3 linked regions of the Coturnix japonica genome follow. Each later gene encodes a partner of the first gene's protein in a complex. Links are inferred from orthologs where the notes say so. Each region holds a gene or a part of one and is shown on either strand. Other genes may lie near its edges. The genes, in order: ARL1, ARFIP2 and GOLGA4.

The links.
Region 2: the proteins of ARL1 (region 1) and ARFIP2 are in contact, whole or in part, in a crystal structure (PDB 4DCN), measured with the Homo sapiens proteins. The link is inferred for Coturnix japonica from reciprocal best matches to the Homo sapiens genes ARL1 and ARFIP2. Residues at the interface, in NP_001168.1 of Homo sapiens: Glu17, Arg19, Gln38, Ile46, Ile49, Gly50, Phe51, Asn52, Val53, Glu54, Thr55, Gln64, Trp66, Ile74, Tyr77, Cys80, Tyr81; in NP_001363487.1 of Homo sapiens: Phe205, Thr212, Lys216, Thr217, Asp220, Asp278, Ile281, Lys282, Phe285, Leu286, Glu288, Asn289, Lys292.
Region 3: the proteins of ARL1 (region 1) and GOLGA4 are in contact, whole or in part, in a crystal structure (PDB 1UPT), measured with the Homo sapiens proteins. The link is inferred for Coturnix japonica from reciprocal best matches to the Homo sapiens genes ARL1 and GOLGA4. Residues at the interface, in NP_001168.1 of Homo sapiens: Ile49, Gly50, Phe51, Gln64, Trp66, Ser73, Ile74, Pro76, Tyr77, Cys80, Tyr81, Ser83, Glu115; in NP_002069.2 of Homo sapiens: Thr2173, Glu2174, Glu2176, Tyr2177, Lys2180, Val2181, Glu2184, Glu2190, Thr2193, Lys2196, Val2197, Thr2200, Val2201.

What each region holds. Positions count from the first base shown.
Region 1 is NC_029516.1:43,427,441-43,432,562, forward strand, and holds the start of ARL1 (ADP-ribosylation factor-like protein 1), read right to left. Parts: upstream 3,506-5,122; 5' UTR 3,234-3,505; coding exon 3,230-3,233; intron 2,565-3,229; coding exon 2,427-2,564; intron 1,257-2,426; coding exon 1,175-1,256; intron 816-1,174; coding exon 704-815; intron 40-703; coding exon 1-39. Other genes in the region: nuclear pore complex protein Nup205, read right to left, coding at 4,216-4,368, 4,902-4,975. UniProt on the Homo sapiens protein: GTP-binding protein that recruits several effectors, such as golgins, arfaptins and Arf-GEFs to the trans-Golgi network, and modulates their functions at the Golgi complex.
Region 2 is NC_029516.1:174,017,383-174,022,604, forward strand, and holds the start of ARFIP2 (arfaptin-2), read left to right. Parts: upstream 1-1,963; 5' UTR 1,964-2,077; intron 2,078-2,578; 5' UTR 2,579-2,587; coding exon 2,588-2,686; intron 2,687-2,771; coding exon 2,772-2,880; intron 2,881-4,061; coding exon 4,062-4,172; intron 4,173-4,971; coding exon 4,972-5,087; intron 5,088-5,222. Other genes in the region: TIMM10B (mitochondrial import inner membrane translocase subunit Tim10 B), read right to left, coding at 1,346-1,537, 1,619-1,714, 1,831-1,872. UniProt on the Homo sapiens protein: Plays a role in constitutive metalloproteinase (MMP) secretion from the trans Golgi network. May have important functions during vesicle biogenesis at certain cargo subdomains, which could be predominantly utilized by secreted MMPs, such as MMP7 and MMP2.
Region 3 is NC_029517.1:77,565,059-77,570,228, reverse strand, and holds the start of GOLGA4 (golgin subfamily A member 4), read right to left. Parts: upstream 3,061-5,170; 5' UTR 2,737-3,060; coding exon 2,314-2,736; intron 2,154-2,313; exon of another isoform or gene 2,133-2,153; intron 39-2,132; exon of another isoform or gene 1-38. UniProt on the Homo sapiens protein: Involved in vesicular trafficking at the Golgi apparatus level. May play a role in delivery of transport vesicles containing GPI-linked proteins from the trans-Golgi network through its interaction with MACF1. Involved in endosome-to-Golgi trafficking.

The sequences.
Region 1 (5,122 bases):
CGCAAACACCACCAAGATGGCTTTCTTCAATTCTTCTTCCTAAGAAACAGGAATCACGCACCAAATTGTTTGCCAGGATTTTTTACTACATTTATTTATGCAGAGAAAACCCGTAGGACAAAAAGCAGCTCCTATCGTGACTCTCTCCTCCAGTCTGTCCATTTGAGTGCGCTACCAAAAGAATGACTCCTATTTTGAATTCCAATTGCTCTCACTTGGCATAGAAGCACTTTCAAAACAAGGCAGATTTCATAAGGTAACAGCACTCTGTAAACAGGAGGCAGATTTAATAAGGCACACTATTAAAAAGCTTGCAGCGCTTTTGGAAGAAAAACAAAGTTGCACTTAACACATCTTCCCTTTATTACCATTCTGGGCATGTTTTTCAGCTTCACTACCCAGTAGGACTCCACTGGAATTCCTTCAGGGCCTGATTTTCTACCACTGATGCACTGAGCAGCTGTTCTTGTGGACAGGCAAGTTTTCATGTGACCAAAAGGCTACATGTAATGTCCAGAGAATTACTGCGCAGACATAAAATACCCACAGCACATTGAGGTTGCTTCAGTTAGAAGCACTGCATGGGCCTGTTCTGAGGGCTAAAATTTGACAACCGAATGTGATTCACTGAATCAAGTTTCACATTTGCTCCAAGAACTGCAGCTTCATTTCACTGATATGACCATCATTCTCATTTTCTTACCTCCAGCATGGCAACAAGCTCTGATTTGGAAGTGCCAATTCTGTCTCGATCACAGCTGTCCACCACATAAATGACTGCGTCTGTATTGGAATAGTAACACCGCCAGTATGGCCTGCAGGAGACAAAAAAGGCCATATGAAGGTTCAGACGTTCTCTACAGCCACAGAACAAAAAACCAACCAGAGGAAGTAAAAACCGTCTCTGGGGTGAAAGATAGGAAGAACTGATCATCACGAGGTTATGAAAAGGACCAGCGTGGCACAAATAATCACCAGCAAAAACTAAGAGGAGTTAATTTAAACAGCTCATTCATATAGGTAGTTAATTACTGAGTGTCACAACAAACCATCTTTTTCAAGATAGCTGGAGCTAAAAAGGGAAAGGAAACGAGCGCTGCTCCTTACTGAGTAGCGTTCAAAGCACTTTTAACTGGAATATAATGATATCTTTTCATTTTCAGACAGGTGTTACCTGATGCTTGTCTGTCCTCCCAGGTCCCAAACTTGAAATTTCAGGTTCTTGTATGTCACTGTTTCAACATTGAAGCCAATTGCTGAAACAAAGTTACACCATTTTATTGATGATCCTTGTTTTTGTCCCCCCCTCCCCCCCGAAATACATTTAGTTTAAAATCATGATGCCTAAAAATTTCATGAGCAACATAGTGATGCTCACGTCCTTTGAGGAGTTTATGGCTGAAAATGATGCATCATAAACATATTATGGAGACCCCACCAACAAATGCTGAAGTTGTTATAAATCAACAGAAACGTGCTTGAAAGCGTCAAAGGAAACAAAGCAGCAGTTCAAGGAGTGGCTTGCTTTGATAACCAAGTACACAACTGACAGCAGTAGAACATTAAGGAACATATCCTACATGTCAGCACCAGATCTGCGGCCTCAAAAGACCACAGCAAAGACTGCTTCTCAGCACAAGACTTCATATCATGATATCTGGAAGATGGCAGTAAAGATACAGCACATACAGCTGTCATTCCCTTCCCTGCCACTACAGAGAAACACAGAGCAGGAAAACAAAAGAACATTGACTGCCTGAAAGACCTGACCCCAATCAGTCAGTTTGCTGCAGCCATTCAGGAAGACTTCTAGAGATGTGGCAAGGATTCAACAGCCAGCATTCCTTGTCCTTCATGTTACACCACAATCCAGTTCATGTTACACTACAATTTAGAGTAGATATCAGGAAGAAATTCTTTACTGTGAGGGTGGTGAGACACTGGAACAGGTTGCTCATCATGGCTGTGGATGCTCCCTCCCTGGAAATATTCAAGGCCAGGCTGGATGGGGCTCTGAGCAACCTGGTCAGGTGTCCCTGCCTGTAGCAGGGGGTTTGAAGCAGATGATCTTAAATGTCCCTTTCAACCCAAACTATTCTATGATCCTATGATCTCAGCCAGAAAATTTCAGCACACAAACCTCAGTGTTTGTTACATGGAGGTATGACAGCATGAACACTAACTGTCAATGGTGGTAGCAACCTTGAGGCCAAGTATTCAGCAGAGTAGCATAAGAGATGCCTTTTTTGTTGTATCTGTATAGCTCACCACAAGAGCATCATGTGAGAAAGTTCTTAAATGTAAGTGCCAGGCTGCAACAATATAAGGTGCTTTAGTTTACAAAGTAAGCACTTGTGAGTTCGGTTGACCAAGCTGACATTCCAGAGCCAACAAATCAGCTGTTTAGTAACGGATCGACTGCTTACTTGGAATGGTGGTAACAACTTCTCCAACCTGTAGCCTGTACAGGATGGTTGTTTTCCCAGCTCCATCCAGCCCCAGGATGAGAATCCTCATCTCTCGAGTTCCAAACAAACTGGAAAAGATGGTGGAGAAAAAGCCCCCTACAAAAAACAGAAGCAGAACAGAAAGGCACCTCCAGGTCAGCTGGCAAAGCAGAGTCTGTCCTGCTTACTGAACAGCACAGCACATCTCTCACATTCAGAGGGAAAAAAGGCAAGTTGTGAGTGCTGAACCACATCCTTCCCTCATGGTCTTATGCCATTATTCTATCACAAATCTCCCCGGACAAAACGAAGCTTGCAGCAGCACTAAGCTTCCTCATTGCGGTTAGTCTGCTCCTTTGCCAAAATCTGAGCCTCCTCCTTTGTTTGCATCGGCCTCTGCCTTCCCAACTCCACCGACCCACCGCACAGGAACACTGCGGTGCAAGGAATGACTCCCCCTGAGCCGTAACGTGCCTCCCGGGCCCACCCGCTTCTCGTTCCTTCAATGGAAGCGCAGTTTTGTTGCTTGTTGCTCATAGAGTCGCGCTGCCAGCCCCCCATCGCATCCATGTGCACAAAGGCCGCAGGCGCTGCCCCGCTCCGTGCCCCCTCACGGGACTGAACGCGCTGCTCTAACGCCACGTCCGTAGGTCAGACCCGAGCGGACGGCCCAAGCCCCACACCCAGGGTGTCGCCTCCCTCAATACTCAGCACCACGACACAACTCAGCACCACAGCACAACTCGGCGCACCACAGCCCCCCATTGCCCCGCAGCCCTCACCCATGTCGAGCCGCTGCGCCGGGCCCTGCCCGCCCTGCCGCTCCTGTCAGCTCCACGTCGCACGCCGCGGCGAGTAAAGGAAGCGGCCCCCCCCCAACTTCGCCGTTTCGACACGGGGATGGGACTGCCTCTGCCTCCAAGGAAGAAGGGGAAACAGAACGCAGGGAGACCTGAAGCCTCTCGGTACAGAGGTACGCGGGACGGGAGGAAAAAGGGAGGAGAAATAAGATGAAATTAATCAAGCGGGCCTACGAGGAAAAGTGACGAATCTGCTGATGCGGAAGCGGCGTGTGCGGAAATGAGCGCGGCGCGGCCTAATCCCTCCCCCGTCCCCCACACAGCCCGCCTCTCATGCGCCCATGGCGTTACAAGGGCGGCTGTACCGGCTGCCACCTTCTATGCCCTTCCCCATGATTATTTATTCCTTGTTCCTACAGTTCTCCAAAGAGAAGCTTGTTTCCGTGTCAGCTGAAAAAAGGCAGGGCACTGGGGAAGATAAACAAGCAGCTTACAGTGCAAAATGGTCACCTTTCTCATAAAATCCATATCAAAGAGTCTGATCACATTAAACGTGTGTGAAGCAAGAACAGTACGAATAGACAAACCTTTCCATTGTCTCTGAGAGCATCCGAACATACAGTATCATCGCAGTCACAGAACAGCTTTTGTTTCCTTATGTATAGTATCATTGCAGTCACAGAACAGCTTTTGCTTCCTTTATGTCCTCCATTGGAATTCTTTCTTGCTTTAGTTCTTATATGAATCAGAACTCGCTTAAAAATGATTCTTTATTTTTCCTTTCAAGTTGGGAGCAGTAAGAAAGAATGCACAAAACTGATCCAAAGGGATAAGGAAAAAAAAAAGTAACAAAAATGTTGGGGTTTTTTTTTGACATTCTTTAGAAAATGAGTCATCTATAAAATGCAATGATCCAGAAGGCCTGCCCAAGTACACAGCTTCAAGGGGCAAGCTTCATATATCAGTCTTTAGGTCCTTGATATCCTTAGAAGACCACGGATACGTCTTACAAGAGCTTGAATAAAGGTGTAACGTGACCGAACCTTCGAATATAACCCCTCAATGTCCAGAAGTTTCTTCTGTAGGGATTCACCAAAACTGTTGGCGGTTTCAATCTGAAGCTGAGAAACAGAGATTTGGTTCAGTCAACAATACAAAAATCTTATCATTCTAGAGCATGCTTATCCATCACCTGTCAATACCTACCAGCTTTTTCACAATACTTTACAATCTTTAGGAATTAAACAAAACTTTTTCTTATAAAGGTGCTTGAGATTACAAAGGGTTTTGATCATAGGCTCTTTTTTTGTCCACAAACAGCAGCTGAAAAGTCAATGGATGTTTTTAATAAAAATGATCTTTTTTTTTTCCTGCTGCTTCTGCAACCAATTAACACAGACTATTAAACTTCTGTGTAGGAATAAATCAATTCTGTTGTAAATATTCACACTTTACAGTCTGTTCAGTTTCTACCTGCTTCATAGTGTTCTGTAAAAAAAAAGTGTGCAACACATCATTAGTTCTAAATCGAGTTATTTACAGCTGGTGTTACCACAGGTTGTTGAGATATGGGAGAATGGTAGTCAGACTGCTCTCAATAGCTGCATGGTAACAATGTGCATTCCATATTTTTCAGTAGACTGTTACATCTCACCTGATCTATATCATGCTGACTCACTCGATTCAGTCCACTGCTGAAATCCAAGCTGGACTCTGAACCAAAGGAATCTAGTGATAGAAAATCAGAGGTTAAAATTATGTTGACACCATCATTCTTCTACATTGTCATAAATGGTTTTAGAATGCAATACTCAAAAAATTTGTCACTAAACTTGCGTATTAGAAGTTAAAGTAATTTTTTGACTTAACATTTCT
Region 2 (5,222 bases), about 130 Mb from region 1:
TCTCCCTTGCAGTAACGCCACCTCCAGCAGCACCCACGGCCCAAACTCAGTGCAGATTTGCATCACTGCCTGTGCACCCAGGGCTCCTTGGGAGGACCAATGCACTGCTGTCCTGTGTAGCTGTTTGCACAGCCCAGCTCCTTCACTTCCATGCCTGCCTTTGGTTCCTAACCTTGGTTCTGCCGGATCTCCACCCATGAGCACCACCCACCTGCAGTGCTGTGGCTGACACACACAGCACCCACACTGCAGGCACTGCTCACACAGCTCCCAGCCCTCCCACACAGCCACTATCTGCCGCGGCCTTGGCTCCCTGTGCACAGCTGGGCCTGAGACACAACCTGCCTCCTGTGAGAGGAGAAACAGCCCCAAGCGGGGCCGTGCCTGGAATGCTGTGACAGGGGGGCAGTGGTGCAGCGGGAGCCCATCAGCCGGGTGCTCTCCCGGCAGCTTATGGACTTGCTGGAGAACGTACCCAGTTTATGCTTTGTCCACAAGGTGGAAAATAATCTTAGGGGCCTCCAATGTTCACCAGATCTTTGGTTTTCCCATAGCTTAAGTAACGAAGGTCGACTTGTCTCAATTACTGGCACTTAAAGACCTTACATCTGTGTGCATTTGTCTACTCTTCTAAGTGCCAATGAAACCCATCAGAGGGAAGCCAGGGAACAGGGTATCACAGAATCATAGCATAGAATCACAGCATGGCCTGGGTTGCACACAGTGCTCATCCATCCCAACCCCCTGCTGTGTGCAGGGTCACAACCAGCAGCCAGGGCTGCCCAGAGCCGCATCCAGCCTGGCCTTGAATGCCTGCAGGGCTGGGAGCTGCAGCCTGTGCTGATGCTGCTCCAGCAGCAAGAACACAAAGAAACAGTTCCTAGAAGGAGCAAAGTGGGAACCTTTGCTGGGAGGAAGGTGCCGCTGGCAGCAGGACGCAGCACACAGCGCTGCTTGTGGAGCAGTGTCCGTGTACCCCTGTGACACACTGACAGCACGACACATAAAACGTTTTATTAACCCCATGAAATGGTCAAATACAAACACAAGATGTTCAGTTCTGGACAGCAGGAGCCCAGTCAGTGCTGGATTCCAGCCGGGAGCTGCAGTGCACACAGCAGCTCATACACGTTCCCTTCCTCCTCCTGCCCCCGGTGCCGTTGTGCTGCCGGTTTTGGCCGCCATGTCGGGCAGTCCCGGCTGCTGCTGTGGGTGCAGAGAACGCGGCTCGGCCTGGCCCGGCTGTGACACCGGGCAGTTCAGCGGCTCCACACGGGAGCTGCCATCAGGTGACCGTCCCGCAGCCACCTCCCGGCCACGGCAACGCACCGACCCCGCGGCTCCGTTACGTGCCCGCGGGAGCCGCGTCGGGATCAGCGGGAGCCGCTTCGTGTCCGTCCGGTGCGGCCGGTTCCGCGCTGTGCTCGGTGCGGGCGGCGCGGCGCTGCACGATGCCGGGCATCAAGGACACGTAGGCGCCCATCAGCCGGTGGTTGGAGCGGACCAGCTTCCCGGCGCAGCCGTCCAGGCACCGCTCCTACGGGCGGCACCGGCTCCGTTCGGCTCCGTTCACCCCGTCCCGTCCCGTCCCGTCCCGTCCCGCCCGGTCCCCGCTCACCTCGCGCCGTGACAGCAGCCGGTGCCCGAGGTCGGAGACGCAGCGGCGGAAGCAGAGCTCGGTCATGCGGTTGTACACCAGCAGGAAGTCCCGCAGCTGCAAAACAGCGGCACGTACGGTCACCGGGACGGCCCGGCACCGCCGAACCGGGACGAACCGAACCGAACCGAACCGGGCCGCCCACCATCTTCCCCCCGTCCCCCCACACTCACACTGCGGAGCTGCTGCTGCTGTTCGGCCGCCGCCGCCTCCATGTCGGCCCGCCCCGCGCTGCCGGAAGTACCGGCACTTCCGCCCCGCCGCACTTCCGCTCGGGGATCTACAGCACGTCACTTCCGGCTCGGTCTCCCGGCGCCCCCCGCGCGGGTCGTGACGTAACTTCCGGCGCGTCCGGGCCGAGGCGGATCGAGGCCGCGGAGCCTCCGGGGCGGGGGGGCCCAGCGGGGCCGGGCGGGGCAGGTGGGACATAACGGGACATAACGGGACATAACGGGACGGGCTGGGCTGGGCTGGGCTGGGCTGAAGGTCGGGGTGAAGGTCGGGCCCCGGGTGGGAGCCGGGCTGGGAGCCCCGGTGCCGCCGCAGGGCCCGGCCGTGCAGTGACAGCCCGGCCTTTGGGCCGCCCCGGTCCCGTCCCGGTTCCTGGTGCCGTTGCAGCCGCTGCTCGTGTCGCTCCTGCTCGTCCCGCCCGGGCTCTCGGTGCTCGTTGGCTCCGAGCGGCGGCTGCGAGTCCCGGGCCGGGCCGCAGCGCTGCCCCCAATGCCGGTACCGAGGGGCGGGTCCAGCTCGTGATAACGGCGCTCGGTGCGGGCGGGGCGATGCTCGGAATGTGACCGGACCGGTCCGGCCGGGCCCTGCCGCGCTCTGCCGACGTGGCCCCGAGCCCCGCGCCAGGAGCCGTGGGGAGCTCGGACCGAGGGGACACGAGGAGCCCCGTGAACGAACCGTGTGTCCCCGCAGGCCCTGACCATGTCGGATGGGATCATGAGCAAAGCCGCCACCATGGAGATCCCCATCAGCAGCAACGGGGACGCCGGCAGCCTGCCCGAAGATGACGGCCTGGAGCAGGTGTGGGGCTGCGCCGGGGCCTCACGTCGGCCCCATGGGTTGGGGGTCTGTCCTTGTGCTTCAATTTAATGCTCTGCTCCCCCAGGACCTGCAGCAAGTGATGGTGTCGGGGCCCAACCTCAACGAAACCAGCATCGTGTCTGGTGGCTACGGGGGAACCGCTGAAGGCATCATCCCCACCGGCACCATCAAAGGTACAAACGGCTTCCACAGGGACGGGGCTGTGGGTGGGGGTCAGCTGGGTGTTCTGCTGGAGGCTTTAGGGCTCAGTGCTGGGGTCACAGCCCACCCTGCTGCAGCCCTGAACGGGGCCAGTCTGTGTCCCTGCTCCCAGCAGCTCTGCTCGTAGCTGAGGCCGTCCTGAGTCACAGCCACGTGGCCCTGCAGAGCTCAGCCTCCTCACAGCCCCAGAGCACAGCACTGCTGCCACCCCGCCAATGCTGTGGGGCCCATCCTGGGGGTGTGATTTCCACCCAGCTGCACTTCTTACCCTGCACGTGCCCTTGGCTCACAGGCAGCTGTGGAGATGCCTGGCTCTCTCGTAGATGCAGGGCTTCTGCTGAGGGAGCTGCTCTGCCCTCCTGGGGCACTGGTGTGATGTGTGGGCTCAGCTCTTGGGTATCCAAGAGCCCCAAAGGTGCACAGTACTGGCACAGCTGTGGTGGCTGCACCTGAGAGACACCTTTCAGACAGAGGGGGACAGGGCAGAAGGGTTCTGAGCCCCAGACTCTGCGTTAATGTCCCGTTTTTGCTGTTGCTGCCCACCTGGGAGCCCCAGGCACTTCTGAGCCTGTCTGTAAATGCTCTGTGCTGGAGGGATGGTGTCCACGGGCTTCTGGGGAGCTGCTGCTGCTGCACACCCAGAGCCACAGTCAGTGCAGCTGGAGCAGCTCTGCCCCATCCATCCCTCTCACCCTGTTCCCATTTCATACAAGTCTCTGTCCCAGCTCTTGGCCAGTCTGGCCCATCTGCTGCAAACAACTGTTTTCACTGTGGGTCCTTCCATGTTGTGCCAGGCTGAACGGGTGAATTAACTTAGGCAGAGGGGAGATGAGCTTTTGCTGACAGCCTGCTGTGGCTGGGGGGATATTGTGCAGTGGTTCCCTGTGTCTGTCAGTCCTGGCCTGTCCCAGTTCTCAACCTGGTACGTGTTGATACCAGCCTGGGGATGGGGAGGAAGCAAGAGAGGAGCCTGGGTGCCTCTGACGTGATGCTGTCTGTGCGGCTGCCATCTGTATCTACTGATTTCACATCACTCTTTCATCTGCTCCCCTGCTGCCACCCTTCCTGCACACTCATCCCTGTGTCCTGGTTGCTCCTGCCCTCGTGTCCTTCACACCCCCCCCACCTCTTCCCTCTGCTCACCTCCTGCCAGCCCCTCCATTTCCAGGCTGTCTTGTCCAACCTCACTCACCCCGAGGACCATCCATCTCCCCCAGTGCATCTGCCGCCAGCAGGATGGCCAGCCAGGCTGGTGCTTCAGCAGGTACTGCAGCCACCCCAGCGCCCCATGGTGCGACACAGCCTTTGAGTCCTCCTGTCTCAGGCTTAGGGCCCGGGCTTAAGGCTCCCGTTGTGTGCAGTGTTTCTCAGGGTCAGTTTCTTGCCCTGCTGTGGTGGGGAGCAACCCAAAGCAACCCAGACCCAACCCATGCCTCCCCCAGCAGCAGAGTCTACTCACGGTTCTTGTGCTGGGGGCACACGTGGCACTTCCAAACCACAGTGCACCAGGCAATGAGGCCGAGCTGTGCCTGGCTGTGGGATGCACTGTGTGTCTGCCTGGCCTCTCCTCCACCTCTACCATGCCCCGGAGCACAAGGAGTATTGCCTAGCACAGGAGCACCAGGGCCATTGGTGTGCAGGGCTGTCCCTGCCAGCAGCTCTGCAAGTGAAAGGGGGAACAGCATCTCCCATGTGGGCAGCAGCCAATGCAGTGAGCACCAGGGCCTTGGTTATCAATGTCTAGTAGGGTTTTGGGGGCCAGATTCTGTGCTGCAAGAGGCCAAGTCCTGCTGCTTGCAGGCAGGTGACAAATCACAGGACACTGAGGGCTCTGTTGAGCCTGGTAGCAGTGCCTGACTGGCAGGGGGGAGCCGCTGCCTGCCTGCATCTCATGGGGCTGCCCAGGGTGGATCTGCCTGCACCAGGAGTCTGCTCTGCTTGCACTTCATCAGGCCGCAGTGTGGCCCTGGGAGCAGCAGCCCTGAGAGCACTGCAGTGTGGGGTGGGCAGCCTGGCCTGCATCCAAGCCCTGTGCTGAGCCTCACTGCTGTGCTGTGTTCCAGGCTCTGGGCTTCACCAGCCTCATCCCAGCCCACCGGTCGGAGGGGAGGAGGTTGTTCGCGGCATCGCTGTGGAGAAGTTTGACATTGTCAAGAAATGGGGCATCAACACATACAAGGTACGTCGCATCCCTGGCTGATCAATACATACAAGGTATGTCACATCTCTGGCTGTGCAGCAGGGCAGAGAACTTGGGCAGGGGACAAAGGAGCAGTGATGGATGGGGAGCACATCTCGGCACCAGTGCAGCAGC
Region 3 (5,170 bases), on another chromosome or scaffold:
CATGCAGGGTAGCAGGAGCAACCATTGATCCTATGCAACAAACAGCAGAATTCCGGAACTGAAGTTCGAAAGATCAAACGGATTCCTGCAACTGCAAAAGCAGTTTTTTTTCTCTCTGTCAGCATTCAAAAGCTGACATGTCCTGCATCAGACAGGTTTTCAGATGCAGAGGGCTAACATCCATTAGCTAACCAATGACATGGAAGAGGAAGGCCTAAAAAGACCTTGTGTGAAAAACCATTCAGATGAATGTTATGATGGGAGAAACGGTGCCTGTGGATTTAATCAGTGTTAGAGTGGTAAATACAGCCTCAGACACCACAGCTAGAACACAGCCAACAAGTTATGTGTCCCTGAGAGGGAATGGCAAGTGAGGCCTCCCTGTGAAAGGGGAGGACACGAACAAAAAGAGGAAAAATGAATTCAGATACAAGTTCCATAGAACAAAAAATGTCAAATGTTTGGAAAACTTGGGTTTTATTAGTCGCTGTGATGACAGAGCACATCATTTAGTGAATGCAGTTTCTTTATATATCTACTAAAAGCAGGGGAACAAAGGCACTTCCCACGCCCCTGCAGGTCTCCAATACACTCTACAGGCCTTAGTACCTTCACTCTCCTTCCTCAATCACAGAATCTATTTTGAAAAGCACAGGAACTAACAAACAGATCAGTCTACTTTTAGGATCAAACTTAACATCAGTTTCCTGCTAGTAGTACCAGAGATCAATCAAAGTAATACTGCAAGAAAACTATTTCACACACAAACAAAAATCTCTTCTTGTTCTGTCTGCTCCTCCACTCATGTCAACCTTATATATAGTTATATAGTTATATAGTTTGCCCATAGCAGACTAAGTGAAAGTATGTTATGCTTCATAAGACTTATTAGTGCTAACATTAGTCCGCATTAGCTTTAACAACCAAATAAAGACTATAATATATTGAACCGTGGATGTGAGAAAATAAATAAATGCAACCACACCCATTTGGACCCAAATTTATCCACAATGTTGATTTCTAGTGAGCCCTCATGTATAGTGAAAACACACGTAACAAGTGTCCCGCTAACTGGGTGAAAACACTGTGTACAAAGTACTGTGATCTGGCTGTTTATAAGAGTAGGTTCTGCAGCTCTGTTTCCACTGTATATGAAAGTTCAGCACATGTGCCAATTCAGTACACTATTCTGACCTGACTGTGACAAAAATGTACTTCCTTTAACTCTCTAGAGAAGACTCAAAATGAATAGATATGAAAGGGCTTAAAATTAATCTTGACAAGCTACAGAGAGCTTTGCAGACAATCCATCTCCAGAAGTACTGCCCCTACTTGACAAATAAGCAATTTAAACAAATATTAAGTAGCTGAATGTCAGCAGGGTCGAAACTATGAGCCCACACAACACCAGATCACCCATGCATCATGTTACACCCAGCCAGGCACAGGCAGCTGATGGCTGATATGTCGGAAGAGTGCAGTTGCTGCCTGCAGCCTGCTATTAGCACGATGCCGAGTTTATATCACTTTTACTCTGCTAGATTCCAAGATGTAAAGGATTCCTAACCCAGCAAAAACTCAAGAGACAAGGGCTGACAGTACACGTCTAAGCACAGAGTCTGATGAAGTAAAGTTAACTTGTCTTTTACACAACTCTGAACTGGTACAGTGAAGATTTCTGCTTCGACACATGTATGAAATCATCACAACATTCCTGGCCATGACCACTACCAAAGACTGCACACAGCAAACTGAACGCACAGTACTTCATTATGAAATGTAGTTTCTAGAAACCAATACTAATTATGCACTTCTATCGGGGTACAAGTAAAAGAGAGAAAAGAGAGAAGAAAAGTCAGCTAAATTATCAGCAAACTAAAAAATGTAAAGCTGAGAACAACACTTTTCTCAGCTTTTCTACCTTAAAAAAACACACACACGTGGGACTAAGTTGAGCAGAGCAGGCCTCCAAAAGAGGGAAGCAGAAGGGACTCGGGAATGTGAAGGGCAGACACTAGAATGAGAAGCGATCTCAACACCGAATTACAACTCCAGCGCATACCACAACGCGCACCCCCCGCACCGCAATGTCTCACTCGTCGTGCCGTTCCATACCGAGCCCTTTAGCCCACCTCTCAGTCCGCCTTCGCAGGGCCGGCAGTGGGCGCAGAGCCCCGGAGGTGCGGCCGGAGCGCCGCGTGTCGAGGGTGCCGCCCCCCCGCCGGCGCCCAGAAGCCCCCGGGCCGCTCCCGCTGCCCGCACGGCGGGTCATGCCCCGAGCCCTCCCTCCGCGCCGCCGGGCCCCCATGGTACCTGAGATTGGAGGGGGGCGGCCCGGCCCCCAGCGCCGCGCGGCGGCGCCTGCTCCTCACTGATCTTCTGCTTCAGCTTCTTGAACATGGCGGCGGGTCCGGCGGCGAGAGGAGCGCGCTGCCTCCCTCGTAGTCCTCGTCGCCCTCCTCCTCCTCCTCTTCTCTTGCCCCCTGCAGTGAGATGGCACTGGAACCGAGCCCCTGCCCCGCTCGGCCGCGGCCGGCACCTCACCGTCCTCGGGTCCCCCCCTTCCTCAGCAGGTGAGCGCGTCGCTGCGCCTGCGCGACCAACGTGGAGCCGAGTGCTTGAGGCGGTACGGGGCGCAGCGAGGCACAAACTTCCCCCGGGAATTCGCTGCCCTCCCCACGCTGGGGCTCGTCCCGGCCCGGCCCGGCTGCGGGGGTGGTTCAGGGCCCGCCCCATGGGGCCTCGGGCGGGGCCGGGAGGGGAGCGCAGTGGCGGTGGTTGAGAGGATGAGTGGGTAGGCAGCGATAAATGCGTGGTGCGGCGAGACAGAGCTGAGATCTGAGTGGGAACTGGTTAAAGGGTCTTCACTGGTTGGAAGGGTGGGGGTGCGGAATAGGCTCCGCAGGGCAGTGTCACGGCGCCAGGCTGCTGGAGTTCAAGGAACGTTCGGACAGTGCTCTCATACATTGGGTCTGGATTTTGGGCGGTCCTGTGTGGAGACAGGACTCGATGCTCCTCGAGGGTTCCTTCCAACTCGGGAAATCCTGTGATCCTATGACTCACCAAAACGTCAGTCAGAGGTTTCTAAATCCTTCCTTGTGTGACAAAGCTCTTCTCTAAGGCGCCCATTGCTGGGTGTGTGGAGGTCTGTGGAAAACACACAGGCCTGCTTTCTGCAGCTGGCTGAAAACATGTCTGCTAGCAGTCACTTTGTGAAACCTTTTGTGTCCTACTCTGTTTGCAAACTTGAGGTGTGTTCTTTACAAATAGGATGTGAATACAGCATCACAGTTGCAGTTTTCTATTTGAAACTGAGCAATGTTCTTGGCCACTGCAGAAGCTTTAGATTACTTGCCGTATTATTATTATTATTATTGTGTGTGAGTGTGTGTGTGTGTGTTCAGTTCTCTCATTGAGACACAGAGGGCTATTAAAGCAGGTACCATTCATTCTCCAACAATGAGATTATTTCAAAACTGCCATGTTGCCAGTGATGTCATGTGAAGGCTGGAAATACATGATGGGATTTGCAAGAAATGCTGAACCATGTGTCTTCTATATAGCACTGAAAAATGCACTTGGAAATCACAAGCACCCTGACATGTTTGCACTGAAATACATTGCTGTCACCTTTAAGTAATTTGAGAAAAAAAATGTAGATGTATAGTTTTGCTGTGCACTGACCACAAAATCAGCAAGATACATTCACAGGAAATATATATATAGTTTTTCCTAACTTTTTTTTTTTGCATGTGAAAAAAAATATTCAACAGTCTGTTTAGCAGTAGATAAACTGAATGACTTGTTGTGATACTTGTGTATAGGTAGCCTTGTAAATAGAGGTATAAGAAACTGTTTCTGAGACTAAGAGGGCAAAAATACCTGAAAAGCAGCCCACAAGGTAATGATGTGGAGCGGGTGATTATTTTTAACTGTGGTTCTAAAATGGGAAAAATTGCTACTTGTGTCAGATGGCTTCTATTCCCTCTACACCTGGCATGCAGTAGCACAGACCATTCCCAGGTAGCAAGTGAGGGCACTGCCCAAGGAGTGCTCTGGGAAACTCTCTAACCACTGCACCTCTAGCCTCACCTCCAGCCTCCCAACACATCCCTGGTTACCACACCTCTGTGCTTTTCCACAGTGCTGCTTGGTCTCTGCAGCACCAGTAATTATACTCTAATTTTAAATTCGTCACTAAGTGTACTGTGTAAATTTGATGGCTAGATGCATATTAAAAGGAAACTAACTCATACAGTAAAAAGATAGAAAAGCAGAGCTTACAGCTGCCTTTCGTCTTTCAGGACATTATTATCCTGGCGGACTATCTGTCCAGATATCAATGGAGTAAGTCAAGTTTTTCTTCTTCTTTTTCTAACCGTGTCTTCTACCACTATTGCCACTTCCTGTCCTTACTTTTGTCATTGTTCCTTTACATTTACTTTTTTTATAGCATTTATAACTTTGTTCATTTTTTTTATAAAATGTACAAAACATGAAAGCAAGCTCTGTATTATTTCCTTGCTAAATTTCATTGTTGTGTTCTGAATATATATATTCAAATTCTGAAGATACATCTGATAATTTCCCAAAATACCTTCATAAACCTTTTCATTTTGTAGTGTCTGGGCAAGTTTGATTTCAGTATACAAAGAATTTACTCCAAGCTCAGTGAAGTCCTGGGGGAATTGTCTGGAATCACTTTAATTCCCACCCCTTCTGGGTGACAAAACCCTTTATGCAACTGAAGAGTACTTTATTTCTAGAGGGTAAGTCGGTAAAAGATAAATGTACTTCTGCACAGTTCTGGATATGATAGATAATGAAGAATAAAAGTCTGTTCCCAAGCGAATCTGTAGCAGTTGTTAATGTATCTCCGTGGGAATGGAAACTGAGCATTAATGTAAAAGACTGTGTTTTCATAGCAGTCTAGACTTCCCTAATCGTCAGTGACAGGGGCCCACATATCCCTGCAGTCCCATTCCTCACCTTGTGCTACAGCCAGTGCTTGTCAGGCCTTTCCTCCAGCCATTGCTGTATGTTGATTTTGCAGAAAACTGAACTGACAGAATAGCAAATAGCTTTCTGCTGTCTTACTGTGCTGAGTCTCTCCACTGCAGGAGAGACAGGCAGCCAAAAGCTGGATAGCTTTACATTGCTGGAGTTCTTA